2 linked regions of the Neurospora crassa OR74A genome follow. The protein of the gene in region 1 purifies or fractionates together with the protein of each later gene. This does not show direct contact. Links are inferred from orthologs where the notes say so. Each region holds a gene or a part of one and is shown on either strand. Other genes may lie near its edges. The genes, in order: NCU02963 and NCU03401.

What was found.
Region 2: the proteins of NCU02963 (region 1) and NCU03401 purify together in Saccharomyces cerevisiae (affinity purification with mass spectrometry; 3 studies listed by BioGRID, with this or other methods). This does not show direct contact. The link is inferred for Neurospora crassa OR74A from reciprocal best matches to the Saccharomyces cerevisiae genes GIM5 and GIM3.

Annotation. Positions count from the first base shown.
Region 1 is NC_026501.1:8,560,701-8,577,019, reverse strand, and holds NCU02963 (c-myc binding protein), read left to right. Parts: upstream 1-12,704; 5' UTR 12,705-12,856; coding exon 12,857-12,878; intron 12,879-13,130; coding exon 13,131-13,292; intron 13,293-13,766; coding exon 13,767-13,876; intron 13,877-13,929; coding exon 13,930-14,047; intron 14,048-14,126; coding exon 14,127-14,182; 3' UTR 14,183-14,453; coding exon of another isoform or gene 14,454-14,865; 3' UTR 14,866-15,005; downstream 15,006-16,319. Other genes in the region: NCU02959 (hypothetical protein), read left to right, coding at 1-92; NCU16466 (nucleic acid-binding protein), read left to right, coding at 858-859, 963-1,346, 1,409-2,057; pex5 (peroxisomal targeting signal receptor), read left to right, coding at 3,443-3,613, 3,687-5,429; NCU02961 (exonuclease), read right to left, coding at 6,356-8,506; NCU02962 (hypothetical protein), read right to left, coding at 10,393-11,300, 11,357-11,546, 11,612-12,217; NCU02964 (hypothetical protein), read right to left, coding at 14,454-14,865, 15,006-15,236, 15,319-15,890, 16,020-16,103.
Region 2 is NC_026502.1:838,187-853,647, reverse strand, and holds NCU03401 (hypothetical protein), read left to right. Parts: upstream 1-7,270; 5' UTR 7,271-7,307; coding exon 7,308-7,322; intron 7,323-7,384; coding exon 7,385-7,587; intron 7,588-7,645; coding exon 7,646-7,838; 3' UTR 7,839-8,193; downstream 8,194-15,461. Other genes in the region: NCU03398 (hypothetical protein), read right to left, coding at 1-51, 131-250, 354-431, 568-847; NCU03399 (hypothetical protein), read right to left, coding at 3,373-4,046, 4,115-4,631, 4,703-4,730, 4,825-5,024; NCU03400 (hypothetical protein), read right to left, coding at 6,053-6,079, 6,157-6,238, 6,298-6,329, 6,405-6,497; NCU03402 (membrane transporter), read left to right, coding at 9,570-9,936, 9,995-10,686, 10,749-12,371; NCU03403 (hypothetical protein), read right to left, coding at 13,053-14,197, 14,684-14,827, 14,878-15,032, 15,096-15,461. UniProt on the Saccharomyces cerevisiae protein: Binds specifically to cytosolic chaperonin (c-CPN) and transfers target proteins to it. Binds to nascent polypeptide chain and promotes folding in an environment in which there are many competing pathways for nonnative proteins.

The sequences.
Region 1 (16,319 bases):
GCCATCAGCATTTGCGGAAGTCGAGGAGGCCAACCCTTGGCAGCGTCAGCGGCAGGGAGGACCTGCGCGCTGTGTTCCAAAACGGGGAGTAGATATGGGGGTGGTGTGATGTCGCTCGACGCTCAACATCCCTTGGAGACCGCTGATGGCGAGTTGGACCATGGCGCATAGCACGCTCAAGTACCGGTAGTGATCCGGTCGGTTTGGATCATGAACCTGACGTAGTATGGTTGGTGGGGACAGACCAGAACGTTGGGGAATATGGGGCCAACCAGCCCTAAGAGATGTCCTGCGAATTGATAGAGAAAGCCTTAGACCTTCAAATGAGACCAAGTCCAAATATGTTGGCGAGCGTAAATCTCAAGTCATTTTCTATGCGCAACCCGTCGCCGTGATTGTGGGTTTGAGATGTGTTTTTGTAAAGTGCCAGGTGAAGTTGAAGTTGGACAACTGATAGCGATAGATAAAGAACCGTCAGTACTAGACCTCTAGAGGTAGCGACGGGATTTACACACTGCACCGTTCAGCCTGCACTCACTGACGCGTGCTGCACAGAGTCAGGCACGTCCGATAAGCTTATCCGTAATAGCAACCTTTCCCAAGGCGGCTAGTCCAATCGGTTATGCAGCTCAGTGTGCCGCCTCAACCCTGCTTGAATTTTCTGATAGCGGCGGATGAGAGCACTCCAACCATAGGCAGTGGAGAGTCCACTCTGAGAACCCCGACTCGGGAGCGGGACCTTGAGGTCGACTGACTTTTATTCTTTTCCAGGCAAACGCTTCCTGTCTTCCCGATACCTCTTTTCAACAACCCTTTTTTGCCCATCCATCCATCCATCCTCATCCCCATACTTCAAAATGTAAGTTCGAGTTGCTTAATATCTTTCCTGGCGTAACAGTCAAGGAACGGACAGGTAGACCGGCATCCCACATCAGTTACTAACCAGATATCTCCATATTCAGGCAGTCCATCCGTCGTGCCGCTCTCAGATCCGCCCTCTCTGCTTCGAGGGCTATCTCTACCCAGGCTCCTGCTGCGTCCTTTTCCGCCAGCATTGCCCGTACTGCTCTTGTCTCCAGCAGAATCCAGGCTATCCGCTTCTTCTCTCAGTCTCCCCGTGTTCTTAACACCGAGGAGCCTACTCAGCCCGAGCAGACCGAGACCGAGACTGCCCCTGCTGCTACCGAGGAGGCTGCTGTTCAGAAGGACACCACTGAGGGCCACGCCGCTTTCGTCCGCAACATTGTCTTCGACGCTACCGAGGAGCACCTCAAGGGCGCTTTCGAGAAGTTCGGCAATGTCACCGACGTTTTCCTTGCCCGTGATCCCCGCGGCTTGAGCAAGGGGTAAGTTTGGAGTCCTTTCTACGTATCCCACATTGAACTACGCTAACAGATTGTGTCCACAGTTACGGTTTTGTCACCTTCGCCACCCGTGAGGCCCTCGAGGAGGCCTGCTCCCAAGTCGACGGCTCTTTCTGGCACGGTCGCCGCATCAGCGTTGAGCCCCGCCGTGCGAAGGTCAACCGCGGCAGCGCCGTCGGCGAGCCCTCTGCCTGCCTTTTCATTGGCAACATCCCCTACGAGACCACCGATGCCGAGCTGAACAACATCTTCGTCGGCATTGACGGTCTCAAGGACGTCCGCGTCGCCGTTGACCGTGCTACCGGCTGGCCCCGTGGCTTCGCCCACGCCGACTTCGTCGACGTTGAGGCTGCCGTCAACGCCTTGGAGAAGCTCCAGGGTACCCAGCTCGGCGAGAGGACCATCAAGATTGACTATGCTCAGCCCGCCGCTGCTCGTCAGCCCCGTGAGAACAACGGCGAACGCCGCGAGTACCGCCCCCGTCAGCAGCGTGATGGTCAGCGCGATGGTCAGCGCAGCTACAACCGCGACGGCGGTAACCGCAGCTACAACCGTGAGGGTGGCAACCGCAACTACAACCGTGATGGTGGCAACCGCAGCTACAACCGCGAGGGTGGCGACCGCAGCTACAACCGCGAGGGTGGCGACCGCAACTACAACCGCCGCGACCAGGGCGAGTCCACCGAGTTCTAAACTAACAAGCCGCAATCGAGGGCATGTAATGGTTACGACATGACTGGGTGAAGAGGATGGGAAACGGATGTAATGGAGGGCAAAACTGGGCAAGTTCGGTTTTCAAAAAAGAAAAGAGGCCGGTTGTGTTTCTTGACAAATGTTGCCAAAATTGGGGCACATTGGGATTGGGAAACTGTGGGATTGGTGTTGTGGCGCCTTTGCAGTACGATCACTCTGCGTACATCATCCTGACCTTTTGCTTGCAATGATACCTGTACAACTACGAAAAATCTTCTCTTCTTTCTTCTTACTGCGACTAGTTGTTTTCGTTTACCATTTTTTGTTGGTTATATCGCTGTACATATGTACGAATAGAGGGGTGGTCTTCTGTACCTTCTTTGCGTCCTGCATCCCGTATGCGTGACGTGACGATCTGCTCGAAACGCATCGTTTGATTGTTCATTTTCCCTTTCAACTTGCGTACATTGCCGTGCTGTCGGCATGCGAGTATGATTTCCGCACTCCGCTGTCGTCCGATTGTTCTCGGCTGTCGTTTGAAGGAACGAAGGGATCGATGATGGATCCGGGGGCGGGGGCGGGGGTGTACTCCACGGGCCGGGCTGGGGTTCGGCTCCATGTGAGGTGTGGTTGACAACACTCCATTGGCGGGGTTACCAGTAATAGCCGCGGCCAGGCAACAAGTGCCTGAGGTGTGGCCGGCAACTGCCACAGCCCAAAAAGACCTAACAAGAGCGCGGTGAGGTGGATATGATGGCTGGCTGAGGTGCCCTGGCTGCCTCGGCATTTCCAGCTGTTCAGGTGGCGCACGGCGGTGCCCCCCTTGTGCCCCTGAGTGACCTGAGCTTTTGGCGCCCAAGGTTCCAACTCACTTCAGATGCATGCAGAGCCCGATTTCTAACCACGCTGCTGCCATCCACACATGCCGGACCCAGACAACCCGCCCGTGCATCCGTGGGCTCCCGTCGTTACTTACAAGACAGCACACCTGCCACACATCCCGCGAGAGTCGGTCAACTTCTTTCTTTCACCTGGACAACTTCAGTTCTGGACACCGCCGCTTGATCACTAATTAATCAACTCCACGAGCTCACCACGCCCGTGCCTGGCTTGTTTGTTACTTCCACTTCTTTTTTTCTTTCCCTCTTCCAAACTAAAGTCATCCTTCCTTTGCCCTGCGCAAAAATCTACCTAGCTACCGCTACTTCCAGCCTGCCTCTACAACTTGCGCGGGCCGCTGCTTTCCCAACAGTCGACCGCATAGCGCTCTACTTCGTCTACCAGATAGTGTACAAGAGCCGCCCATCTTGTCTTCTGTCTTGGGCTTCGTTGTCAACTTTCGCCGAAACATCGCCATTGTCGCATTAATATCCAACATCTTCAAAATGTCTTTCATGGGTGGAGCCGAGTGTTCGACGGCGGGCAACCCGCTCAGTCAGTTTACCAAGCATGTTGGAGACGACAAGAGCCTCCAACATGACAGACTTGCCAACAGAGGTCCCAATGCTGCGGTTGGTGGCTTCCGGAGTATTAACCGCGGGCCTGGCCAAGATGAGGTAAGGAATCTTCATGGATATTGTTGACGGCAAGGCATGCGCTCTTGGCTGACATGACGATCCTCTCGAACAGATGGTGAACGGATTCCTAAACCAAACGCCGGAGATGGCTCATATGCCTCTCGAACAAGGACATATGCTTCACCTCGACCCGAGCCAAGGCGCCCACATGCGCGCCCCGAACGCCTCGCCAGCATGGGCTCAGGACTTCCACAACACACAGGCGGCTATGGAAGCCGCCTTCAATGCGCCGCCTGGCACTCAGTTCAGCGCCGATGAGTTTTCAAAGTTCCAGCAAATGCACCCCGCCGCGGCGCCGGCCACCGCCAGCCAGATGCCTGCTCAGCGCCCCATGATGGGTGGTGGCATGATGGGCATGGGCAACATGAACTACAACATGATGCAGCGACCCATGTACCAGCCCATGGTCGGCATGCACGGCCCTCAGATGCACAACATTCCCCAGCAACAACTACAGCCCGAGGGCAAGGGTAAGGGCAAAGTTGTTGAGCTCGACCAGAACAAGTGGGAAGAGCATTTTGCTCAGCTGGAGATCAATGGTGACGAGGCCCGCGCCATGGAGCCCGAGCTCAACAAGATGGACGAGGCGCTACTTCACTCCGAGACTGGTGCTGGCGATCTCGAATCCATCTGGCGCGGTATCCAGGCCGAAAGAGACGCCATGAAGGAGTTGGACGAGATTGATGTCCAGGACGACTTTGCCAAGTTCGACAGTGAGAACCTGGAAAAGGAAGATTGGACGCTGAACGGCAGGCTCGGCGCGGACCCTATCGTGCAAGAGTACCTCTTCGAGGAAGATAACCTCTTCAGGGAGACACCAAACCCATTCGAAGAGGGTATTCGTATCATGAAGGAGGGCGGGAACCTGTCGCTAGCTGCTCTGGCCTTCGAGGCTGCGGTCCAGAAGAACCCCGACCACACCGAGGCGTGGGTCTACCTCGGACAGACGCAAGCCCAGAACGAGAAGGAAGAAGCTGCCATCCGTGCTCTCGAGCGTGCCATGAAGCTCGACCCCAACAACCTCTCTGCTATGATGGGCCTAGCCGTCTCCTACACCAACGAGGGCTACGACAGCACCGCCTACCGCACGCTCGAGCGCTGGCTGTCGACCAAGTACCCCAGCGTCATCTCACCCAGTAACCTTTCCTCGGCCGCTGACATGGGCTTCACCGACCGCGCCCAGCTGCACGAGCGCGTCACCAACCTCTTCCTCGAGGCGGCCCGCCTCGCTCCCGATGGCGATCACATGGACCCCGACGTGCAGGTCGGCCTAGGCGTCCTGTTCTACGGCGCCGAGGACTACGACAAGGCCGTCGACTGCTTCCAGTCGGCGCTGCACTCGACCGAGCTCGGCACCTCCAACCAGCGCGAACAGATCCACCTGCTCTGGAACCGGCTGGGCGCCACTCTCGCCAACAGCGGCCGCTCCGAGGAGGCCATCGCCGCCTACGAAAAGGCCCTCGCCATTCACCCCAACTTTGTCCGCGCCCGCTACAACCTTGGCGTCTCGTGCATCAACATTGGCTGCCATGCTGAGGCCGCGGGTCACTTGCTCGCGGCGCTGGACATGCACAAGTCTGTAGAGAAGAGCGGACGCGAGAAGGCGCGCGAGCTGCTGGGCGGCAATGCGGGTGATAGCGACTCGCGTATCGATAACATGATGACGCAGAACAGGAGCACGACCCTTTACGACACTCTCCGTCGCGTGTTCACGCAGATGGGACGGAGGGATCTGGCGGAGAAGGTTACTACGGGCGTGGATCCCGAGATCTTCCGTGGTGAGTTTGATTTCTAGAGTGAGTCAGAGTTGGAGTTGAAAGAAGAGGCTCAGGAGTGGATGGTTGGGTATGACGCTATGGAGGATGTTTACTACGATGTTGATGTCGAAATGGAGAAGGCCTTGAAGGAGGAGCAGCAGTGGTGTGATGAGGACTTGGACGAGGGTTACTTGTCGAGTGAGGCGAGTACACTATGTTCGGATGATTATAGGGAGTTTTGGTGAATATACAAATATTAAGTACTGTACAAAGCGAATGTAGCTGGCTTGTCGGGGTTGTTAACAGCTTGTGTTGGGGAGTGAAAAGTCGAAGATGGGGCTTGGTGCTTTTCGGCTAGTGGTGAGTCTGGTTTTGCATTTGCTGGGTGTCGTGTGTTTCTTTCTTGCTTCACGATGGTGAGCGGAGAAAAGCGGATTGTGTTCACAGACACATACATAGATAGATACGATACATAGGCTTCTGAAAGAATCTGCATTGCGTGTCCTTGCCATACCTTGCTCGTTTTGATATCCACAAGTTTGGGATCACCATCTTGCTAGTATCTACCGTCAACCAGAAATAGAAGAGTAGATCCAATGAAGGTGTGCAAAGCTGAGGCTCTTGGTCAACAGCGTGTATCACTGAACCTTAACAAAACGGTGATATTGGCAATAGATGCTGAAGACTCAAGACGTCGCCTTCTCTAAATTTATGGTAAACTTCGTAAAGAGAAGTAAATGTTCGTAGAGCCCGCGGCATCGAAGTATGTATCTTGACGATATTCTATAAACCATCGTTGACGCACCAAGCAAAGCCATAAGGTCTATACTGTCTTGATGTCATCTAAGAACCTCTTCGCTGCCATCCATAACCATGTTCACGCCAACAGCTACCCTGAAACCACCTCCCACAGATATTAATTCTTCTTTCTCCAGCGTCCACTCGGGGGCATAGAGCTCAGAGCCTATTTAACTCCAATGAAGCCAATGCCGCTTCTCGCCACCTTCAGAGCCCGACGCAGAGCCTGATCCTCCCTGTCCGTCCATTGCACACTAAGCTGGTCCCACTTAGAGCCAGGCGTGTTGTACTCCTTCTTGAACTGGGCCTGCATGGCCTGCAGCCGGCTCATCTCGCGCGGGTCACCAGTGCCGGTGTAGACGATGAAAGCCGTGCAGGGCGGGAGATTGTCGTAGATGCGCTTCAACCGCTCGCCGAGTGTCTTCAGGCAGGTCTCAAGGGGTGATGCGGCATCCTCCTGCTCTTCCTCTTCCTCCTTTTTATCACCATCAGTGAGAGCCGGCGGGCCGCCAGCGTCCTCGGGGACGAGCTTGTTGCGGTTCCACCATCCTCGGAGGGCCTCGAGCTCACGCATGCGTGCCCACACAAAGTCGACACCGCCGCCGGGAACTTCGAGGCCGTCGGGATCACCCTTGACCGCGCGGAGGATGCCGGCTTCAACCTCGGCGTCGGATTTGCAGGAAATTGTGACGGTGGCGGCGTTACCGGCGCTTCTGCTTACGTCACCCCAGTCAACAGCTGCGCTGCTCTTGCCGACAGGAGCACCGCCCGTGGCCTCCGGCCCAGCGGTCGAGCGATATGCCGTACCAGCGCGAGCGAGGCGCTTGAAGAGGTTCTCGCCCTGGCTCTCTCCGGCACCCCATGCCTTGCCCTTCTCGCACTTCCTCTTGACAAGGTCGAGACACGTTTTGGCGTCTTCGATACTGTCGTGTCCGGCGTTGGTTCCACCACCCTTTTGAACTTCGCGGTTGAGGAACTTTTGTGCGAGGTACTTCAACGATTGTTTGAGGGGAAGTCCGCGAGGGTGCGGGAAGAGAAGCGAGGTGTCGACAATGAAGGGGTGAGCGAGCTTGAGGGCCTTAAGATCAGAGTCAAGCGAGTGTCCGAGGAGAATCGAGCGAGGACCAAGAATGTCGAGCAAGCGTGCCTGGATATCTTTCAATGTCGTGTTGATAGGATCGATCATCTCTTTGGTGATACCTGAAAACCGGGTCACATAGTCAATGATAGGCTTGTCCGGCTTGACAAGCTCGTCAAGAACAACACTGCCGTCCCAAGAGACCAAGCTGATTCTGGTAAGTGAATACTCGGCTTCCCCCGTCATACACATCTCGCAATCGAGGGCATAGACTTCCCGGCCTGCGGTGACACTGCCCTGTTGCACTTCGCCTTCGGGGACCTTTCCATCCTCAAGATTCTCGACCCTCGTGTGTACCCAGCCTTCGGGGTCCTTGAACTTGTCTTTTTTCTCCCCTGGGTTCAGCATAGCTGGATGAACGGGGAAGCCATGCTCCATCAGCTCCTCGTTGGTGGCCAAAAACTCGGTAATGCGTGTTCGCTGATTTTTCCAGCCGTGGGGCTCAGATACGGGCTGGATTCCCGTTCCCTTGCTCTTGGGCAGGGGCGCGGTAAGCATTGCAGGCATTGGCGAGTGCAACTTGCCATACTTGTCGTCACCTGGAGCTTTTACAGGCCACAAATGCGGGAACATGTCGGCGAAGGGCTGCAGGACTTCGGGCAACAGCTCCTTCTTGAGCTCGCGTGGATAGTACTCATCAGGATCAGGGGCGCCGCCACCGGAGATCGCTTGATCAAGAGTGGGACCGGTGTAGGCGGAGAAGTCAAGACCGTTCTTGAACATGGCCTCGTCAAGACCCGGTACCATGATGGCCACGATCTTTCTGAACTCGGGGCGATGCTTGACAGACACCCATTGCGGCGCAGGGCCATCGGCAAAGATGTACAGGATCAGGTCGCGTAAAGAAGAGACGTTGATCTTGGAAAAAAGCCTGGCCTGGGTCGAAAAGTGAATGCCGGGATAGCGCTTGGATTCCTGGCCAGGAATCTTCTTGAGTTTCTTTACCGGCCGGCCATTTTCGATTGTCTGCCAGCCGCCGCCGTCTTCATGGTCATCTTCGGGACATGGCCGTTTAAGACCAGCCGAAATTGTGGTTGACGTCAATTCACCGTCCGTCGGAGCAGTCGAATTCTGAAGGCTGGTGACTTCGGAATCAATGGCCATAGAGTCGCCCTGAAAGGTGGCCAAGGCAGCCGCAACGCCGCGCTGACCTTTACTCTTGTTCTTTTTTCTGCTCATGATGACTGCGCTTCCTCTGAGGGGAGTGTGACCTGAAAATTGCACGGAAGTGCAGGCTCAGAAGAAATTGCAAAAGAGAAGGAATTAGGGAGTGAAAGTGAAACGAAAGTGTTCAGGTTTTAAACTGGGGAAAACAACTGAACATTGATGGAAGTGGACGTCTGAAGTTGGCACGAAGTCACTGAAGTCGGACCAAACCAAAAAGAAAGACACCCTTGTTCGTGCCTGTCAAACCCCAGGCACGCCAAGGTTGGGTGGAGCGACTCACGGCGCAGTGTTTGCAGGCAGGCAGAGCCCCACTGTGGCATCCAGTGTGGCGGATTTCACTGTCATTATCGGGCATACCTAGTGGTAGGTAGTCAAGCCACATCTTATCGTCCAAGAAGGTGGCGCCTACAGCTTTCGGTCCCCTGTATTGCCAAGACCATCTCTACATAGTACAGTATCAAACGACTTATACGATAGCTCCTTCCTTTGTTGTCCATTGTTGAGAACCAAAATGAGCGTCCACGTTTCCCATGATGTGAAAATTTCCTTCAGTGTACACAGTTGAGTTGCCCGAGTCATCCCCAGCACATCTCCAATTCGATTTCAGCTCAAGCAACAATGTGCGTGATCTGATTCCGACGCCCACGCTCCACGGTTCTGATCTCCCGATACGCGGGGCATCACCATATCTTTCCTTTCTCATTCCTGAACACCTGAGTTCTTTCGCAGCAGGCCGCTTAACCTTGCCCTCGATATCCATAGTTCAGCATGGCGGAGCTGGTGCTCTGCCGTTGCAAACAGTGCCGGGGCACTATAGGCAAGTTCATCAACCTGTGGTATGAAATCGGCATGTATGTGGTTCCTATCATCGAATCAAAGAACAGTCTGGACGTATGCCACAAGAGAAGCGCAGTTTACGGAGAGCCGGGTACCTTGATGGAAAACTGGTAAGTCTGTATCAATCATACACTCCATGTCTGATGTTGTTACTTATTCGAATGTGCTGTAGTCGACTGCAAATCATAGCCTGTGTCAGTTGTTCCGCGTTTCTTGGGCTGAAATGCGTCGAAACACCCGGGAATCATGTGCTAGAGAGGCAAGTCAAACATGATCATTGGCGTGGGACATCGAAGACAATGCCTAACATAACCTTGTAGATATCATGTCCTATTCTACCAAGGCTCAATTGTGCCATTCGACGACGCAGGCAAGAAAAGTAGCATCTACATCGATCGCGTCCTCGACAACACAGAGCCATCTAGTAGTGTCAGCACAGTTAGCTCAGCCGAGACACTAGGGGAAAGTGGCACTTCTCCCCGGGCGGGAATTTCAACAATGCCTTATCGAAGAACGAGCTTCCCAGACAAGCGAGCAACGAAATGACCAAAGTCAGAAGCCAATTGCAACAAGAACTGGCGGGGCTTAGGTCCCAGGTCTCTGACCTCCTAGTTCAAGTTGATGTCATAGCATCAGAAGCCAACAAGAGCGTTTCTACCACCAATGATGGGAATGAAGTTGCAACACTTCGTGCCAAAAATGCAGACTTGAGACGCCTGTTGAGCAACATGCGCTCTATCGAAAGTCTTCAGATAGACTTCGATATTCTCAAGAGCAGGGTGCAACGGCTCGAGGGTGACCAGCAAACTGCCAAGAATCTGACATCTCCCAACTGTCACAAACGGACCTCGTCGGAGGCCGAGCTTCCTGAGACAGACATTGCAGGAGAGTTGCCAAGTACGCCAGCTATCGACACTTCGCCTTGCCTCGCCCGACGCCGCTGCACAAGGAGGCGTACAGTCGGGATGCAGCTAGACACCTCAGACTAGCCTGTCGGCCAAGTAAGGAAAGGGAGTCTAGGTGCGGAGAAAGGACTGAAATATCTTTGATTCTTTTCGGGCTTACTTCCGAGCCAGACTCTTGTTGCCTCCCAGTTCAGCCTCGATGATCTCAATTGCGAAACTCGCAAGCTGTGTGATCGGCTTGAGCACAACGTTCTCCCAGAAAGCTTTGCTCACAGGATCTTGCAAATTGTTTGCCCAATGCTTGACCATAGCGGCGTCCTTCTCGTCGCGCTCCTGCAGATCTCCGATGTCGCGCAACATTTCCTTGGTTCCGAATAAGACGTCCCACGATGCCACACCCCCTATAACGCCGTTTTGCCTGACCAGCCGAAGGATGACCTCGGTCAAAGAAACTATGTCAGCGGTTGCCAGAACCCCAATAACACCCTCGTGGTCGCAGTACCGAGCAAGATCGCCGCTATAGGTCAAATCTCCCGCCGCGGACAGGAGCTTTGCAATTGTCATCAGTGTTTTGACCCTGAAAGGCGTGAATGATGCCGGGTACTTGAAGGGATAGCATTCCAACGCCATGAAGCAGTGTAGAGGAAGCGCCTTGGCTAGCGTAGTACGGTTAGAACCCAGCATGGTAGCTATCCTGAGAATCGTGGGAGGAAGGGGATCGAGAGCCCACAGCTGGGCATCCCTGAGAGGTTTGCAAAGTTCCCACTGGGCTCGCGCATTCTCCATAGGATCCCCCTGAACAATGCAAGTCAACTCCATACACTTCCAGTGTATTTCCTCGATCTTTGACTTTGGTACTGTCTTTGACCTTTCGATATAAGCAGGAACCAGGCTGGCGACATCCGGCTGGAAACTGGAGGAGTTGAGCCACTTGACACCCGGGGAAACCCCGCAAGCCTGAATAACTTCGTAGGCATTCAAATCCTCTTTGCAACGAATACAATTGCACTGGAAGTGATAGAGTCGAAGACTCTCTTGCCTTGCACGGCGAGGCATAGTGTGATCTGGCTGGCAAGTTAGAAGACGAGAAAACCCTCGCTTGCGAAAGGAATTACCATACCGATATATGAAATCAGAATCTCGTCGCCCGGTTCAAGATCCCTCTCCGCCTTGAGAAAGGCCTTGCGCTTCTCGAAAGCGATGTAGGCGTTCGGAACACAAGAGTGATTAACCATAGAAAGACTAGGGTGAAGATAGATGCCCGCCTGTCCCGTGTCGGCATCAAACCTGTTGAACGCATTCGTTTGGATCTAAGGTCGCCGCACTAGTCAGTTCACATCACACGTCGATACCCAGACTTCCACATCAAACTCACCTTGCACAAAACCTCCATAGCCTGCTTCAACGTCTCATCACTCTGCAACAAACCCGCATAAACCACCGCCCCCGTAGCCTGTAATTCGAAATCACCCCACAAGCCCTCATCAGTCTTGAACCCCTCCACATTACTCTCCAACGTACCACCAGGCCCAAACGCCTTGACAGTCTCCTCATCCCCAGCCTTCAACAACAGCATCACCTGCGCCACCGCCCTCACGGGAGTCGGCAACCAGTCCTTGCCCGTCCGCTCCTGGATTCGCTTGAACATCTTGCATTCGGCCTTATGCACCAGCTTCCAGTGCGCCCGCTGGCACTCGGCGTTGCAGTACACGGCCGCCTTGCAGCCCGTGCACGCCTTGCACGTCCGGGCCCCCGCTTCCACATCGCCCTCGAACTCGATCGTCCCGCTGACATAGAGGCAGTAGTTGCAGGTCGTCCGCATGTTGGCGTCGTCTGGGAGAGCGAGCAAGGGGTTTTCGATGATGGCGATGGTTTCGCCGGCGCCGAAGCGCTCCGTGGAGAAGAGGCTGCGGCCCCGGTCGACGCCGGGGATGCCGCCGATGCGGGTTTTGGGGATGGGAGATGGCAGTGAGGGCGCCATGATGGTGGTGCTTCTCTGCGAGTTTGGGTTGGGGTTTGTTGATGAGGTGAAGAAGAAATTCGGGTGTTTGTTTGTTAGAGGTTGCTGGGGTGACCGTTCTTATGTGTAACGCGAAAAGTTGAGGTGCCACCCGTTGATAGTGGCAACCGACGAGAAAGTTTGAAGAGAGCGAGAAGGATAAAATGCTGTTTCCAGTACAGTTTTCCGTTATACTCAACCCAGTAAGCCGCTTCGCCGTGTATTTCTCTTGGAACAAGATGGTCAGTTCGAGGATTGGCTCCTCAATGGACCTATCTATGTTGTCGAGGAAAAGTGAGAAGATGGTTGTCAGGAGAAAGTCAAGTCACTGTTTACTCGGTACTACATACCTAGGATCTCGGGCATGTACCCCGCCTGCAGCGAACAGGGGAAAGCGACGAAGCGACCCCTGGAAGCCCGCAAAATTCTGCCCCACAGAGCTGCTCTCATAGCGGGGCAACCACCTCCACGCACTACCTCTATCGTTGCTGCCGGCCCTCGTGGCCGCCCGATCAACTGGAACTGAACCTCGTTCAAACATCACATTCGGTTTTGTGAATTAGACACTCTTACATCTAGCCCATTCCTCTCTCGATTACAAACGAATAAGAAAGCGTAAAGATGTCTGGCAAGCAAGAAGGAGGTAAGTATCTCCCCTTTCACCGCTGCCCGCTCCTTTGAACCTTGCAAGCTCCCACTCATTCAAGGGAGCTTCATGTTCGCTCCTCCTCTAAAGCTCAATCAAGCTTCGAGCTCAAGCTTCACCTTACCTTCCCCATCCCCCCCCCTGGTCACCTCCCGCACTCATCTCACCCCCTTTAGTCCACACCATGATGCCGCCCCCATTCCCCGTTTGATGTTTCAATGTGTGGCAGTCACTAACAGACCTTCCCAGTCAACATTGAGAGCCTCAGCGCTCAACAACTTACCGCCGTCAAGCAGCAGCTAGACGAGGAGGTCGAGCACCTGACGGCCTCGTACACGCAGCTAGCTGCGGCGCAGGCCAAGTTCAAAGAGTGCTTGCGAATCGTGCAGACAGGAAGCAGTTCTTTTGATGGTATGTTTAGTTGACCTGTTTCCTTCATTTTTCTTTCATCTTGATGTGGTAGATGAGATGGGGTGGATCGTCTATGAGTATATTCGAAGGGCCGGGAGTTTGGGGGATGGGGATGGATTTTGTCAAGCTTCCACTTGACGGTCAACCTCTTCGTGAGCTTTTGTCTCATTCTCTGATGTGACCCGATGAGCTATCCCTTTTTTTCTCCAGTCCTCTTCATCCCACTTACAACCATAACAAACGTCTACACCTCATTTTACTTTTATCTACTCATCTCATGGCGGTGATGTCGCCATCCTCCACCTCCCCACGCCTCATATCTCCCATCCTCATATCCGATCAACACCCTTTCTTCCCACCTGCTGTTCCACCACGCCCATCCTACAATTCCATTCCCTTCATCCCGACCCAAGCCCAGCCGAACGCCTACCCTCCAGTCATGGTCACCGCTGACAACAAGACCCCATTCAACAGACAACAAAGACATCCTCGTGCCCCTCACCAACTCCCTCTACGTCAAGGGCAAGCTCTCCAACCCCGACCGCGTGATCGTCGATGTTGGTACTGGGTTCTACGTCGAAAAGGTACGTCTCTCCGCCACGAACGGCACTACATGTTATTAACTCGAAGCGTTCAGGACACCAAAAGTGCCACTGATTTCTACGATGCCAAGGTCAAGGAACTTGGCGCCAACATTCAGAACTTGGAAGCCATTGTCCAGGGAAAGACTAACAACCTCCGCGTGGTGGAAGAAGGTACGGCATTCTCCTCTTTTTCTTGAGCTGTCCGTGCATTTCAGCCATGGCATTGTTACTAACAAGAATCAACATCTAGTCTTGAGGCAGAAGGTGCTGGCACAAGGAGCTGGACCTGCATCGGCACAGGCATAGTGGAGAATCTGACTTGTTATTGTGTGATTAAGCGAAGCAAAAAAAAACAAACAAAAAACGACAAAAATACAACTTGGGCACAGCTACTTGGTGTATGTCCTCGATCTCCTTGAATACGCGTTGAGCCATTGACGATTATTATGACGACACACCCATGTATTCGAAGAACCGTTCCGCGACCTTGAGCTCAGCAGCCAAACATCACTACTTCAGCTCTTAATACCTCACCACGACAACTTTCCATCTACAACTGCTGATAGCCCGCGTCTGTCTATACAGTTCTTTCCAGCACCGTTTGGACCTTTCCAACCCAGTGCAATAAGGCATCAAGCGGGTCAAGATCCCTAGTGGGGTCAGCGGATGACATGGATGACTTGAAGAACTGTTCTGGAAACGCTTCCCAGGACCGCGGTCCGGCTGAAACGTCAGCATTGGCCATGTGGTCGTCCCACTCCGGTCGATACATGCTGACGCTCACACCAGCGACGGGCTCTTGAGGCTGTCGGCTCTTGGTGCCCGAGATAGTGCTCCACTGCCGGTACAGGGAAAGCTCAACGATGTAGTCCTTGTTGAGGTAATAGGACCAGGTCGTCTTGCCAATGAGAGCCTCAATATGGTGTTTCTGTGCGAAGGACGCCGCAATGTGAGGCTCAATACAACGGGTGTTCTCATTGTGACGAATCCTGATGCCCTTGCTCAGTGTATGTTGATCGAGTGGGAGCTTATTGCCGGTCTCATCGATGGGAGACTCGACTTTCAAGACCCAGTCGTGATTTCTGGGATGTGTTAGTTTGGCAAGGAAGTGAGAAAGATGCCGACTTACTTGTCAGGGCATGCTGTGGCAAGTTCGACACTACGGTGGCTCTTCTCTCGATGGAAGACGTTCAATGAGCCGAAAGTAAAACCACAGATTTGATTTTTATCGACGCTCACTTCCAGGTTGACATTTTTCGTCGTCACAATCACAAAGTTTTCTATGCCTTGGGGGCCTTCAAAGTCTGGATCGAGGGAGAAGGCATGTTGAATCTTTTCGCGCATTGATTCACCACCCAGTCTGAGCAGTGTTAGACATTAATCGCCTGGGAAAGCGACCAGAAAAAGGAGAACCAGAAGGGAAGACCAGAGTATACACTTACCTCATCTCCATGTAAGAAGTCCCTCTGCTGCTCACCCTGCGAGCCAACTTCGAGAACTCATCGAGCGTATAGCTCGTAGTACCCCGCTTGCGTTCTTTGAAGAACAGTTTGCCGAAAGCGATCTGCATGCGCATCCTATTGGGACAATACCGCAAGCCATCACCCACGCGGACCATCGCAGCAGCAAGATCGCTCTTGTAAGCTTGGACAGCCAAAGCATCGGCCACCTCAGTAGAGTCGGTGAGTGTCGCGGCTGGTCGAAACCATGTGGTTTCAGGGCTGTCCTGGAGAAGTATCCGTATGACACGCTTGTCGCTGCTGGGCGGAGCCACAAGTACTGAATCTCGCCAGACTGTCGCATGCCCTTCACGGAGCATCAAGCTCCTCAAGATGCTGCGTATGGCCGCCTGGGCGTTCTTGGGAGAAGCAGCGGAGATCTGGATGGGATCCTCCTGTGCTTTGAGGCAGATCCTGACACGGTGCTGTTGTTCGATCTGTTCCAAGATTGTCTTGAGCTCTCGGTCCTGGTCGTCTACAATGCGAAAGCCACGAGTTGGGACCACCAAGTCCACCTGTAGAAGAAAATATCAGTATACGTGAAATGGGGGTGAAAGCACTCTTCCTCAATAGACATAGACGTAGAACTGCGCTGCTTGAGAGAAAGGGGAAAGCTGAAAGGTACTCGCCTGAATGTTCAATACCTCAGACGCCTGGCCGCTGCGCTGCGACGAGGATGAGGCGCCCGAACGAGAATTGGGCAGTCGAGCTCCGGTGGCGAATGACATGGTGACTTGACAAACGCGGAGTGATTGCAAGTTGAGATCGAAACGTTATGAAGACGGGGAAAGATGAAAGAAGGAAGAAAGAGGAAGATGTAGAGGTAAGGAAGACGGCGACGACGACGACGGCGATGTTGATGTCGAAGACCAGGTGGTAATGGTAGTGGTGGTGGTGGTGGTGGTGATGGTGGAGGAGACACTGAAGATTGATGAGGATGAACA
Region 2 (15,461 bases), on another chromosome or scaffold:
TAGCCTTGGCCGATGGTTTCCGACGAGGACACCTTCGAATAGTGCACTTGTCTGTGAAGGGAGAGGTACCCTTTCACATCAGCACAAGTCCCAAACAAAAAGCCTCTGGATGCCCAGCAATAAGACTCACGATCAGCACAGTACTCCCACCTCTGGTACACTGGCAGAGAATCACCATGTCTCGATTCGTAGGCTGGATCCAAATACTGAAGTCTCGCCTGGCTGCATTCGGGAACGGGACACCTCGCGTCTGTATTATTGACATTATATGTTGATCAGTCACAAACTCGTCCAATGGATGGGAAAGAGGACAGTAGGTAGATAGTGGAGAGGCGAGAGGTGAGGTAACCTACGATAAGCACAAACAGCATCATGCGACGGCTTCAGCTGCGTACAAGTCTCGTCATCTCTGAAGAAGTGGGTGCAGGTATCTATTTGTCTCAGTCACCCATGTTAGAATAATCTTTTTTTTTCAACTGCAGATCACATGCTAGGAATTTCAGAATAACAACATAGACAGTAGGCAGTGCGGATTATAAGAGACAAAAAAGAATAGGGTGGGCTAACGAGCTTGACAAAAAGGCGACGCAACAGTCGATGACGCCCCGGCATTCGAATACCGATGTTGATGACCATACCCTCCTCCACCCGGAGCTCCAGCTCCAGCCGGCGATCCTCTGCCCTGCAGAGTGTGGCCATTTCTATCCCTGATGATACTGGCCCGGCGCTCGAGAGGGTCGATGTAGCCTCCTCCTGAGCCTCCTCCTGAGTCGACGGTCTTGAAGAGGACTTCGTGCTGACAGCCTTCGAGTCGGCACATGAGTTGGCCTTTACTTCGGTGGTTCATGGTCGGTAGTACCCTACCTACCTACGGTAGTAGGAGATCCGGGAATATGGGTGATGATGATGAGGAGGAAGGATGGTTTTAATCGGTAGGTTGATGGCCTGGTCTCGACTAACTGGCCTGGCCTCGATCAACGAATGGGTTGGGTAAGAACAACCGGAGTGAACCAATACCGAGTGGTTCAGGATCTGGTTTCCAGTTCATCCAGGTCGAATTGTTCAAGTCACAGAAAGAAAAGAAACAAAAGGAGAGTTGAAGAATGGAGTAACAAACCGACGCAAACAGTATCCGTTGTCCACGGTCAAGGTAAAGGTCAGGTGAGACGATAAGGTAGGAGACTGGGAAAGGAAAAGATAACAGAACCCTAGTCAAGTCAAGTCAAGTCAAGTCAAGACAAGTCAAGTCAAGACGAGTCAAGGGAGGACGCAAGACGAGGTCATGAGCTCAGCTTTGTGGTATGGGCCGGACCGTCCGTTGAACTGGTTACAGCAGTGTCTGCCAAACAGACAGACAGGCCAGGCACACAAAGACATGTCAAGCAGGCAAGGGGGAGGGAAGGGGTCGGAGGAATGTCAGAACCCTAAAAAAAGAAGAAATGAAAACAGGAATGAAACACTAAATGAGCAAGCAAAGCAGATACATACCGACATAGACCACTCATGTCCTCTTGTCAAATCAAGTCAAGTCAGGAGGAGCCTTTGGGTACGTGGGTAGCTACCTAGAGGTAGGTATGTTGTTAGTACCAGGCACACCACGTTGTGATCAGCCCTGCCTCCCCTGCCTCCCTTCACCCCTGTACGTAGGAGCTTGTTGTGTTGATGTTTCACTTGGTTGCCGTTCGGAACCACATTGGCGGGGCAAAGCACTCCTTCCTTTCTTCCTTTCCGCAATCTTTCCACCTGCACCTTTCAGCACAACATCCCATTCTACAATCGTTCACTTATGTAGTCGCCGCCAATGTAAAATGGAAAGATGGACCAATACATACCGGAGGCGGGGACTCTTCGTTGCTTCCCGTAACTCGCCTACCTATTTTATCATTTGTTAGTAGCCAGTCCTGTGCATCTCTCCTGGAAAACATCAAGTAGCTTTTCCATTGGTTGATGGTTCCCATTCAACAAATCCCCAGCCATTCCTCAAACACTGATCATGCGTGTGGTATGTGTGTGTGTATGTGGGCGCGGGGAAGGAGAAGAAAGATGCCAAGCGGTTACCACACCAGTCAGATGGCTCCATCCAACAAACTTCGAGAGGCATACAGTGCTTTCTAACGTGCATTGGAAGAGGGAGGCTGCGTCTCGAGAAGAGGGTGTCCTGACCTCCTGGATTTTGTTTTCTGTGTTGTTTTTTTGGATAGCCAGCTCAAGTAAAAGTAAACCAAAAAGAACAGAAATAAACAAACGCCATGGTGTGATTGATGTGAAAAGCATAAAAATGCAAGCGCCCGGCCGGCCAACGGGTGACGACTGAAATATCCCCAAAGAGCGGGGGACGATCAGAAACGTAGAAATGCTTAACGCTCTTGATAAACAATCAAGCATGAAGCACATTCCATCACTTTTTCCATCTCCGTCTGATCTTATCGTCCTCGTCGGTCATCTTCTCCGGAATCCTTCGATAAGGACGCAGTTGCGCAAAAGGAAAGAAAACTTTAATCGATGCAGACTCAAAGTACATATCACTTTTTATCATCGGCGTTGGCTGTGGGGGAGGGGGATGGTCGCTTGACGACGATGATCCTGTCCCGAAAAAGAATGGAGGGATGCAAGTCATATCGAGGCCCCTATCACGTGAAAGCGTATCATCCTCGTGCTGGATGCTGGTCGCGTGTGCAAGTGGTGAGACGCGGTTACGTGCGACCCGGTCAGTTTGGTGGAGGATATTTCAAAGACAGCCACTCGGATACCGTCAGCACTTGACTCGATATCCTGGCATGTCGCGCCAACCCCAATTTAGTATAATGATACCCATCATAAAGCATAATCGAACACACAAACACCAGCAACGTCGCTCGAAACAGACTCCTCATCAGATCCATCGTCAATTCATCCTTCAGCTTCATTATGGTACATCCACACCTGTCTTGCGCCATTTCGGCGGCGCGGCCTCTCCCTTCCTCCCTTCCTTTAATTCTTTCTGTCGTTATCATGCAAGGTATTCCGGGGGTAACAAATAAAACAAGGTTAACCACCATTTAGTCATCCGTTTCTCCGTAACCCCTTTGCGCTTGCCCAATTTTTAATGTACAATACAGACCAATGAAGCAAATCCATGCTATAGCGCAATATGAACTTTTTTGATCATGAGAACGCCCAAGATCCCAGAGCAAAAATGCATACGCTCACACAAATAGATGCCAGACGAGATCAAACCGAGGAAAAAAAAAAAAAAAAAGACAGTTAAGCTCAAACAGGCCAGCCAGATTCAGCAGGCCAGCCAGATTCCGCAGGCCAACCGGATTTGGCAGACCAATCAGTTTCAACAGGCCAGCCAGACTCCATCGCGACAGGCTCGGGACGTCCAGACTCCTAGTGCTGCTCGTCACCACCGGCGCGAGGAGGACGAGGGCCTCCACGACCACCACGAGGACCGCCACGGCCACGGCCACGGCCACGTCCATCGCCACGTCCACGGTAGCCACCACGGCCGCGGTAGCCTTGCTGCTGAGGACCACGCTTGCCCTGGACGGACTGGAAGCCGTCATCAGCACCAGTAGGGGCACCGGCAGTCTCGGGATGATCGTCAGCCCACGACTGGGTGTTGGAAGGCGCGGCAGGGGTAGCCTCAAGGCCCTTCTCGGTCTCAGCGGGATCGCGCTGGACCTCGACCCACTCCTGAGAGCCCGTCATGTCGGTAGAGGCAGCAGCCGAGCCAGAAGCATCCCAGCCGCTCTCGGCAGCAGGGTTGGCAGTGCTGTCGCCGGCATCGGTCTGGGCGGGGGCACCGCCAGTAGCAGGCTGCTCTTGGGTGTTTCCGTTGGTCAAAGCAACAGCGGAACCATCGTCGATTTCGGTAAGGCCAGCGTTGGCAACAGTAAGATCGGTCTGGGGTTCCTGCTTGGACTCGACAGCCTCGGTCTCAGCGGGCTTGGTTTCGGCGGGGGCCTCGGTCTCGGTCTCGGTGGTCTGGGCAACGGGCTCCTCAGCGGCGGGCTGGGAGAAGGGAGCCGCATAGGCAATAGCGACCTGCTTAACCTGGGCAACTGCAAAGACGGAGTGAGGTTAGTATATATGGAAGGCGGGCTACATGTGCTAGTGGAGGGGTGCTTACAGGTAGTCTTGAGCAGCTCACCAGTAGTGCTGCGAGTCTGCTCCTCGGCACCCTGGACGAGCTTCAGCATGTTCTTGACAGCATTCTCGTCGCCCGAGTAGATGTGGAGCAGGACACCTTCGAGAGCCATATTCTCGTCGGCAGTGCTGTCGGCATCCTCAGCGCGACGGGCAGCTGCGAGGCGGAGGAACTGAGAGAGGTGGAGCAAGCTATCGTGGAGCTTCTTGTCGGCATCGGCCTCGGCCTTCTTCTCGAGCTCGGCAACAAGGTCGGCCTTTTCCTGGGCAAACTTGTCGGCGAGGGCCTTCTCCTGCTCGGCCAGGCGGATCTTGTGCTCAGCATCAAGCTTCCTGAGGAGAGCAATCTGCTCGTCAAGCTGGAAAAGCTGGGCCTGCAGGGCGGGCTTCTTGAGGTATGCGGCCTTTTGGTCGGCATTGATGATCTTGAGAGACACCAGCTCATCAAGAGACTTGTTGCCGTGCTCAGCTACCAGGTGGTCGATCTTGGAAGCATTGGTCTAGATTGAGGAACATAAAGTCAGTCTCTAGCGCAATGGCGTGGCATGTCAGTGCGAGTATAGAAACCTACAATCTTCTTGGACACATTGCGGATAGCCCTATACAAGAGAGAAGAGACAAGTGTCAGCAGCTAGTAGAAGGTGATGGGATGGAATGACGACGATGGCGGCTAGACTTGGGTAAAGAACGGACTTTTGGATCTCACGAATATGGGGGTTGGACGAGTCGCCCTCCTGAGACGGCTCGTTGCCAGCAGCGAGAGAAGCGGGCTTGTCTGGGGTCGAAGAGGTAGCGAGGGCGGGGGACTCGGTGCCCTGCTTGGCCTTTTTCTTCTTGGCCGACTTGGACTCGGTCGCGACCGGAGGGTTCTGGACGGCGGCGGCAGTCATCATGTGTAGTGTTGTGGTGGATGGGGTGGTTTGTCAAGCTTGTGGTGGTTGCGCGGTGGGTAATTCAGTTGCTTGGGGACAAGGCTCCAACGATATGTCGGGCTACCTATGATGCTCCTTTGCGGGGTTCAGTTGCGTTGCTTGACTGCTGATGCGAAGAGGGGTGGCTAGCAGCAGTGTTGATTATGGAGAGTGAGGCAGAAAAAGGAGAATAGCGGTAGAAGAGCTTGTTGAGTTGTTTGCGAAAGAAGGTGTGGTGGAGGGTTTGTTTTGTTGTTTGGCGGAAGGAAGGGTGGGAGTGGGTGGGTGGGTGGGCGGGACGGGAAGGCGGCGGGCGGCGGGACAGCTCAGCTGCTGACGTTCGACCTTTTTGGAGCTCTCTCCGTCCGCGGGCGGGCGGGCAGCCAGGAGAAGGAGTGGAGACAGCGATTCCCGCCCAGGCGGGCACCACCTACAACGAAGTCAGAGCCGGGCAGTTGCTGATACCTTCCATTGGAAGGTTTTGGCGGGCGTCCGACGGCTGGGCGGAGGAGTCACAACGGGCCTCCTGAAGCTACCTACCTACCTCTAGAGGTACCTACAGGCAGCTGAGGCTACCATCGGGTTCCGTCTGGGGTTGGCCGCAGCTCGGCGGCTTCCCGTCGACTGGAGCCCACAGACGCGGGAGGGACAGGCACAGAAGCCTGAAGAAAGACCAAGAATCACAGCTCCATCACAGGCAACGGCGGTCCATGCAGTATAGTACGGCAGAATTCTTGGACATGACCATGAATTTTGATTTTACCATTATGTACGATGGATGTCGAGATGTCTTCCCCCGCACTCGATTCAACTTGTCATGTATGAGCCAACTGTTGTCACTACCTACATCCACGAATGAGGACGTGTACAAGTCCATGTATGCACTTGTACCCTATTGAAAACTGATAGGTCGTCGAAACCATGCTCCCGTTTGCTTCACCTCCAACGGGATCCCTTTGACGGTGGGGGTAACCAGCCCGTGTGTTGTCTAGGCGCAGTGTTGGAATTCCTCAACCCTTGAACTTGGCAAGAGTGTCCTATTGCAGCAAAATGTCAACAAAAGGGGGTCAAAAAAAAAGGGGGGGGCGTGGTTGTGGGGAAGAAGAAAACTGACCGCAGTGACTTTCTTGACACTCCGACCTGTGATGCCCCGTTCACCCCCTTGCTTGGCTTCGATGGTAGCCTCCTTCATGAGGCTGTCAGAGTGTGTGTTAGCGTGATACCGTTTCAGAAGGTGTGAGGAAGTGGTTCCTACGTTTGCATGAACAAAACATAATCGAGATAGATCTGCGACAAACACGATGTTAGTGCGACGCGTTGGATTTTGGGAATAGTGGCATTTTTATTGTTATCTTCGCTTACCATGACATCGACATTTTTGCTAACATTGCAGTTAGCGTGGGCCTTGACAATCTTCTTGACCGTTGCCCGCGGGTATGCTTTTTGGCCGGGCATATTTCCGCCCAGACTTCTTCTTGCAGTTGATTGAATATCGTGACAAGACCTAGGATATCCCCGATACCATGTCCTTTGCTGCTGTGAATAGGCCAACCGTGCCCGAGGTTGATGTTGATGGTCACTATCAGGGCAGATAGATGTGTTGTTTTGATGTTTTGGCGTTGCGCAGAGGACTTAGCACTAACACAGACGTTGTGACCAATCGGGTAGCAGAGCCCCAACCCCACCATGAAGTACAGTGAAAACCCTTGTAAGAGCAACCTTGTATATGAGCAACCCCCCCTGTATTTGCAACAGTATGGGCCAAAACTCTCTTTTTTATATGTGTAAGAGCAAACGAGTATACAGTAATAGTCTATTTAGTAATTTGCTCTAAAGTAAGGGTACTTCTCACCCAATTATAGCCTTGATACTACTTTATACCCGCTATTTACACACTTTTTACATTAGGGGATGGGGAGGTCTGGGCGCCAAGGCTTTCCTAGAAGTGCAGGTTTTGGTAGTATGGCCCGTGCACCCTACCCCAGCACCAGCAATCCCCCCTGTTTGAGCAATACTTGTGGCCGGATTTTTGGTGTTGCTCGTACTAGGGTACTGACTGTATGTACCTGGGTAGTACCCCCCCCCCCCCCCCCTGGCGTCGATGAACAGCTCCCGTCGCTGTGCCCCTGATGGATTCCAGGTGGGGTCAGACGGGAGCTTCGACGTCGCTTCGGTCGCTCCCTAGGTCGTCAGTCGTCACCACCCAACGACTCTATCTATGTACTGTACCGCTATCAAACATCACCAACCAACTCCACCGGCAAAATGAACCGTCGCATGGTAAGTCCTTGGTCCATAACATCTGCTCTCTCGCGCTCGTCGCTAACCACCCCTCAAAACAGTTGAGTAAAGAGGACGAGGAGGCGGCCGGCGACGAGATCGAGGTCCGTCGCGAGGACCAGGACAAGATCAACAGGTTCAGCCGATTGCACCAGCGCGAACTCGCCCTCGAAGAGGAGCTCAAGAACAAAAACAAGGAGAAGGAGGAACTCGACGACTTGGAAACCGAACTGGAGCTTGTCGAGGACGAGGACGAGCTTGTCCAGTAAGTTGCAACCGTCAGCACGACACGTAGCCAGACACATACTGAGACCCGACAACAGGTACAAGATTGGCGATTCCTTCTTCCACATTCCCCTCGAACAAGCCAAGGAGATGCTCGGCATCGCGGCTGCAAAACTCATCAAGGAGATCGAAGCCCTCGATGACAAGCTTGAAACCATCCGCAAGGAGATGACGGGGCTCAAGGTGGAATTGTACGCAAGATTTGGAAAGACAATCAACCTCGAGACATGAAGCCATGCCCGCAACCCATTTCGCCGGCTTACATCCCTTTCGATGAGTGTGAATAATGCTTCCGTGTACAACACTGGCAACAGTTCCATCGACCAGGGCTGAGCAGTCGCTACCAACTTAAACCACGTCAACAACATGATCAGACTCTTGGGCAAATTACTGGATATAACGTGCATGTTATGTCACTCAAAGTCCCTCAGGTAGAGAGGCCAGACTCGCCGGCAGGTCAAATGCCCAATGAAGCATATCTGCAGCTCGCAGCGCCTGTACTGCAAGCCGCTCGCTGCCGGGCCTCGGCCCTATCACCATATTCCACTGTCAACGGCTGGCTGTCAGTGGGAACCAAAAACACATTGTAAGCCTTTCTCCAAGTCAATACAGCAACTCGGTCCCGGCGCCCTTACCGTACTGACTGAAGCAGGTAATATAACTGATGTCAACCTGGGGCCTCGTAGACTTCTTATCTTGACCATCAATGCCGGAATATGCATTTGCTACTATTTGGATAATTGGAGATGCGAGAATCGCATGTCCCATGCGCTGAGATGTGCTTCAAGCAGGAACGGACTTGACGCCTTGCCGTCGCTTCAGCGATTTAAGATGTGCCAATCACCCGATCCTCGTCCTAATCACCTTACTCACTCTATCGAACGAAATTGTCGCCGCGGACGGCTTGCCTTAGTCCAGGACACGACCTCAGAATCGCCAGTCTCTAACCTGCGTTCACTGGCAGGGCCGGCCCATGGAATGCTGACCACTGTTCCCGTTGATCAGTACAGCTCGAGCCAAAATGCTGCCGACTTTCGAATGAGTTTTTTTTCTTGATGTCCATGACAGAGTTTCCTGAAGTCGATCTGGGAAAAAGGCCTGAGGCTGCAGACCGTGGCGAACAGACATATATATAGATATTGGCCCTCGACGTGCAAGTGACGATACCCCGGATCCAACCAGTTGGAAACAGCCACACCCACGGCTATGCTTCATCTCCGCAGGCCCCATCGAGCTCCATGTGCTGACCGAGTTGACTCCGTCACCCTTCCCCGTCTGTCGACAATCCCTCGGCCGTTGGGATAAATCAGGGATTGTACAGCACGAACGTCATGTCCACGTCGAGACCATCCCCTTTGTTGTCCCTGAAGACCTTATCCTTTTCACATGCCCAGCTCAACTCCTCTTGCGCCGCAGGCTACCACCATGTTGGCAACGTCAGCAATCCCTCTATCCTTGCCCATCCAGCTGGGACACCTGTCTTCCAACAAATTAGTCGCTGAAGCTTGATTGGGGGACTTTCATCGTTTCGAGATGAGGGTGCTTTGCTCAACGAAATATCACTTGGCCGGATGGATTAATGATGTGATTGACTTGTGGCTTGTTAGTTTACTAACTGTTACCCTGCTCATCCTCGGATATCATCACTTCCGTGATCAAATCCCCTTCCCGTCATGCATACACTATATCTGTTCAAGCATGCATGACATATTCTTTCTTCATGACGATTATCATGGGCGAGACACATGCTTCGATTCTCGTTTCGTGACTCTGCTGTAATGGTATCTGAACAAGATGGCAACTCTATATCACCTCTTTTTCTCCATCGCTCGCCCGCTGTCAAGTTTTGGAAATGACTCTTCTTGTGTTCGTCTTGATTATTGTGTAAACGACCTGACCTTCAAAGAACCATCGACCTCTCCGCTCCATTGAGTGGTCTGATGACCTCCATACTTTCGCACCATGTCACACAATCTCGAAGAGAGCCCCGGTGATGATGATCATCGGCAATCCCAACCCACCGAGGCAGAACAGGGCATATCAAGATATGGAGATCGAGCTGACTCTGATTTTGTGCAACGACCCAAAAATACGGATGGCACACTACAGCCCAGCAAAGACAAGGAGTCCCTCCGTAACAAGAAGTCTCCGGAGCCGAGGAAGTTCTATCTCGTAACTCACAACTCGGGAGACGACGAGAGGCACCGTGGGAGCGAGTCTTCATACTCGTATGAGTCAGTGAATCTTGAACAACCCTTTCGCTTCGGCGAGTTCAATACACTCGTCGGAGAGTCTTTACCTTCTCTGTCAACACGGGACAGTACTAGTGGTGAGCGCACATATGCTTCTCCAAGTTACATGGCCGCTTCTGCTAACCGATCCAACAGCTCCCAGAGTCAGCTTTTCAGACCCGGCAACCATCCCCATCAGTGGACATGCCAGTTCTTCATCCTCGTTCCACGAAAAGCCAACCACTGTTGAGCCACGGGGGATCCCATCCCAACTCCTGCCCCGAGCCAGCAGCATAACCAGTTTCGGCTTCATCGATGACGGTGAGGACACCATCATCTCCTGGGAAGAAAACGACCCAGAAAACCCGTACAACTGGTCCTCCGGCAGGAAAGCCGCCATCTTGCTGACGGCCGTCATGTTGATCCTCAACTCGTCCATGGGCAGCGCCCTGCCCAGCAACGCCATCCCCTTTATTGTGGAGGAGTGGAAGATCGAGTCGGAGCAGGAGACGGTCCTGCCCATTTCCATCTACCTGATCGGTGAGGCCTTGCAGTATTTTAGTTATTTCTCGCAAAGACTGACGGATTTAGGCTATGTGATGGGTCCGATCTTGTGGGCGCCGCTAAGCGAGCAGTATGGGCGCAGGAGATTGAGTATCGGGACGTTTGCCATGTTTACTTTGTTTACGTTGGCGTGTGCATTGGCTCCTCATTGGATTTCCTTTATCATCTTCAGACTGTTTTCGGGCATCTTTGCAAGTGCGCCTATTGCGCTGGTGCCGGGGATTATTGCGGATATTTACAATGAACCGAGGCAGCGTGGGAGAAGCATGGGGATTTTTATGGCTGTCAGTTTTCCCTTGCCCCTTTCCCATCCACACAACCACTGACCACCCCCCTCCCCTCACAGACTACAGTCTTCGGCCCTCTCATCGCCCCCATCATCTCCGGCTACGCGGCCACCACCATCGGCTGGCGCTGGGCCTTCTGGATCGGCCTCATGTACGCCGGCCTGACCCTCCTCCCTCTCTTCTTTTTGTTGCCCGAAACCTACGGCCCCATCCTCCTCCTCCGTCGCGCCCAGCACCTACGACTCACCAACCCCAACGCCCACGTCGTCGCCCCCCGCGAACTCGAAGACACCCAACACTCCCTGTCCGAACTCACCACCATCGTCCTCACCCGGCCCATCCGCATGATCCTCATGGAACCCATCGTCTCCACCAGCTGCGCTTACATCTCCCTCTGCTACGCCATCTTCTACATGACCTTTGAAGCCTACCCCTTCATCTTCATCGACCTGTACGGCCTCACCCCCGGCCAATGCGGGCTCACGTACCTCGCCATCGGCGTCGGCTGCTTGATTGCCCTCCCGATCTTCATGGCATGGGACTCCATACTCACCCGCGCCCGGCACCGCAACGCCCCCTGGACTCGCCAGGAAGAATACCGTCGCTTGCCACTCGCTTGCCTCGGCGGCCCCATGTTCGTCGTCAGTCTCTTCTGGCTGGGCTTCACTTCCCGTTTTTCAGTCCCCTTCTGGATCCCCATGCTAAGCGGGATCCCCTTCGGCATGGGCTTCATGTGCGTGTTTCAGGCGCTGCTGAACTACTTGACAGACGCGTACGAGATCTTTGCCGCGTCAGCGAATGCGGCGGCTTCGTGCTCGCGGTCGTTGTTAGCGACGCTCTTACCGCTGGCGACGGCGCCCATGTTCCATCGCTTGGGCATTGCGGGCGCATGTTCGTTGTTGGGTGGATTGAGTCTGTTGATGACGATGATGCCGTTTATTTTCCTGTGGCAGGGGGAGAAGATTAGAAGGAGTTCCAAGTTTTGTTTGTTGTTGAGGGAACGGAGGGAGGAGATGGAGAGGAAGATTGAGGAGCAGAAGAGAAGGAGGACGGGAATCATGATGACGATTAGGATGAGTGGTGTGCCACCGCCGGCGTCGTCGTCTGCTGCTGTTGCTGCTGCTGCTGGCTTGCGATTCTCGGCTTATGGAGAAGGTATGGCGAGGACGGAGACGAGGGGGGAGGCGGGGAGGGTGCTGGGAGGAGGAGGAGCTATGGTGGACATTGCGGAGGAGGAGCAGCAAGGGATGAAGAAGGATGTGGAAAAGGGAATGATGGAGATGGACAAAGGGAAGGAGATGGAGATGGAGATGGAGGGGAGGAAGAGTTCTTCAAGTGGCAGCAACTACTCAAGCCACAGTGAACGAAGATGCATTCAGGCGGGTGATGGTAGGAGGGGGACTGGCGATGTGGTGAATCATGTCTTTGAGTGCCCGGACTACGAAGGAGCTGATGAGGTGGGCGAGTCCTCATTCAGTCACGACCATGACCCTCCTCCGCCTGGTTCAGGTTCAAGAAGTGGTGGCTCGTCAGCTACCGTGGCGGTTAGTCCTCCACCGCCTCGGATCACTGGTACACCTCATGACGATGATGATAGCGATGATGATGGAGGGGGGAAGTTGAATGGAGACGGGCTTGTTATTGGAAGTCGGGAAGGAAACGAAAGGAAGAAAGATGAATGAATGATTGGATTCGCAGATGTTATGGTACGATAACGAAGAAAGATATATACTAACCAAGGAAATAAATTGAATAGAAAAATAGGAAAATAAAAGTGTTTAGCACCGGTTAGTAGTGTTCAAACGCGGGCCACCTACCTAGAGGTATTCGTCCTACTTCCGCGAAGGAAGATACTACGACAACTTGAGTGATTTAAGTGTAGGTAAAGAAGAAACAAACGAGCATCATGGCGAGAAAAATGCTTGGTTATTTACACTTGATGGACAAATGTCACTGGTGTTCAATATGGAATGAAAGAAATCCTTGATGTAGAGGATGGCCTTTCGGCTGATGATAATCGCTTAAATACTACCTCTGGTTTTACTAACACAGCTGCTGTAAGTCGTTACATCAGAGAAAGCTTGTCATTACTTGTTTCCCACACCACACGTGATGGCCAGTAACGCAAAGACAATGATGCCCAGTTCCGCCTGGTTATAATCACACTCTTTTGGCGTGGTTATCAGGCCTTTCAACTTTTGCAGAACCACCAAACACTGGAAATGCACGTTGATTCTCTACTCCGCACAATACCTAACACTTGAAAATCCATCAAGGGATGAAGCTAAGAAGGCACGAAACAACAAAAATAAAAATATGATTGCTCATTGAAAACCAGTGATGGTTCACTTCTTCCCCCTTTTCTACACGTTGCCGGCGGCTATCTCCTGGATTGAAAGCGAGTTCTCCAGATGAGATCCACGCTTGTTGTTTGTGGGAAACACTTGATCACTATCGTCTGACTCGTTTGCATCATCGATAGTCTGCGAATCGTTCGGACCACTCCAGGTATTGTACTTTGAGGAGCCAGAAGTGGCCGAATCACTCTGACACTGGCCATTTTCATCCGAAAATCTGACCTGATGTGTTCTCAGCACCAATGTTGTATCACTCTTGACCGAACTCAGGTCGGTAATTTTGATTTCTGGCACAACCGCTTTGTTCGAAATGGGGATAGACGACTGACGACTGGACTCTGGCGAGTATGACCGCGGAAAGGAGTGAAAAGAAGCATCGTTGAGAGAGGGAGAGCTGAGTGGCGTCGCAAACTTGTCAGTGGTAGCTGATGAATCCCCTCCACGACTTCTGGGGAAAGTGCCTGGCATAGTCAAATTCCGATGACTGCCGGCATTGGACCCATCAAGTTCAACATCGGAACCAACAGGGAGAGTTACCCAAGGTCTGGGTCCGTCTTCCACCTCATTCGACACCAACCGCTTCAGGCGCCTGATTTCTCGGCCTAATGCTTCGAGTTCTCGATAACCAGCCTCGGTGGGATGGAGTGCAAGCTCTGGGTATTCCAGTGTGGCTCTTGCTTGGTCAAGATGCGAATCCCCGCACGAAACGTCTGATGATCTTCGGGAATGAACAAGCTTGTCGAGGCCGGATTTGAGAGCCTTTCCGAATTTGCTTGACATTGAGTTCTTCTGTCTGTGACCCATGACCCCGTTATGTTGGCGGTTGGAAATAGCCCCAGAGATCGCGGTCTGTGTAATCTCTTGGTTCGGCGGTTTATGGGAAGCTATTCGCTCGGTCCGAGCTTGGTCCGTATTTTCGTGGTCCTCATTTCGTTCTGCACGGTTGTACGAAGGAAACCTTGCCCATGCCTCTGGAAACTTTCGAGGCCTCTGTATCTCGGGTCCTGGGCTCTCGAGTGACGATCTGCGCACACCTGCGACGTTCAAAACATTATCGCTCGGCTCTGGATTGCTTTCAAGTGTCTTGGCAGAAAGTTCAGTGGAAATGGACACGGGACTGCTGCTTTGATCTTGGCCACCAGGGCGCGCTCCTGGGTACGGATAGGGGTAATAAGTTTTGGGTGGAACGTCAAATGGTCGGTAGTCGCTATGTCTCTTTTTAGTACCTGTATGGCGTCTCCAGATTTCCTCTCTCACAGCAGATTGCCAAAGCTCTACTGTACTATCATCACAGTCGGAGAATGGAAACTCGCTGCTTTGATGGAGCGTTTGCGGACCAACATCACTGAGTGCAGATTTCTTGTGTCTTTGCGAATCAACCGGGCGTGATGTAGAGGGCAATGGAGTATTCTGCTCGCCGTCTACCTGACCGTCAAAGGAAGCCGGGGTCAGTTTGACACGTCGAGGTAAGCTCAAATGTAATCTCGCCAGCAGTGAGCGCTTCGACGGTTCGGCGCGTAGTTTCATGGAATCGGTCGGTTTATCGAACCTTTTGGAGATATTGGACGGTGCCCCATGCCCTAGATGAAATCGAGCAAAGCTCCTCTCCATTATATTTAGCTTTGGTACCGATTGACGTTTGTTGATGGTATCTGATGCCACGCCCGATGAGATTAGCTCGGTCTGAGTGGCGGTGCCTCCATCAGTAGGACTATCGAGCGAGCTCCCTCCCGTGGCCATGTTCGAATGGCTTTCACCAAAAGGGTTGGACGGAAGAAGCCCTGTAATCTATTAGCATCCGAACAGAAGTCGTTCATGGTGGACTACTCACATCGCAGTGGTGTCGCTGAAAGCAAGTTATGGGGACCCATGACACCTGACGGTAGATGCGATGAAGAAGTTCCTGCGCTAGGATCGGCGCTATGTCCAGCTGAGGGATATGCCGATGATGGGTTGCTGATGAGGCCAGCCTGACCGTTAGGCTGTCTGTGTGATGTCTCGGTCCCGTATGCAGCTGTCTGATCCGAGCTACCATGTCTCACAACATACCTACGGACTGTGTTCTGTTCCGACTCGGTATTTGCAGGAGATTCCTCAGGAGTGTTCAGAGTCTGTGTAGCAAGCTGCCGATGGATATCCATGTCATGAAGATGGACAATCTCAGGACGTTGAAGACTAATGTCACCGCCAGGGTGGTTGGGAATCGAGCTGCATCTCTTGAGCATGACCACTTTAGCCTGTTCCACGCTTATTTCGGGATCACCGTCTCTATCCGAAGACCTACCCAAGGAAAGTGACGGCGAACATGATCCAAGACCCTGGCTTCTGAGCCAAATACCCATTGGTGACTGATCCAACACGCATGGAGTTGCATTCCCAGGAGTGCGGGCCGAGGAAGAGCGTGGACGAGTCTCT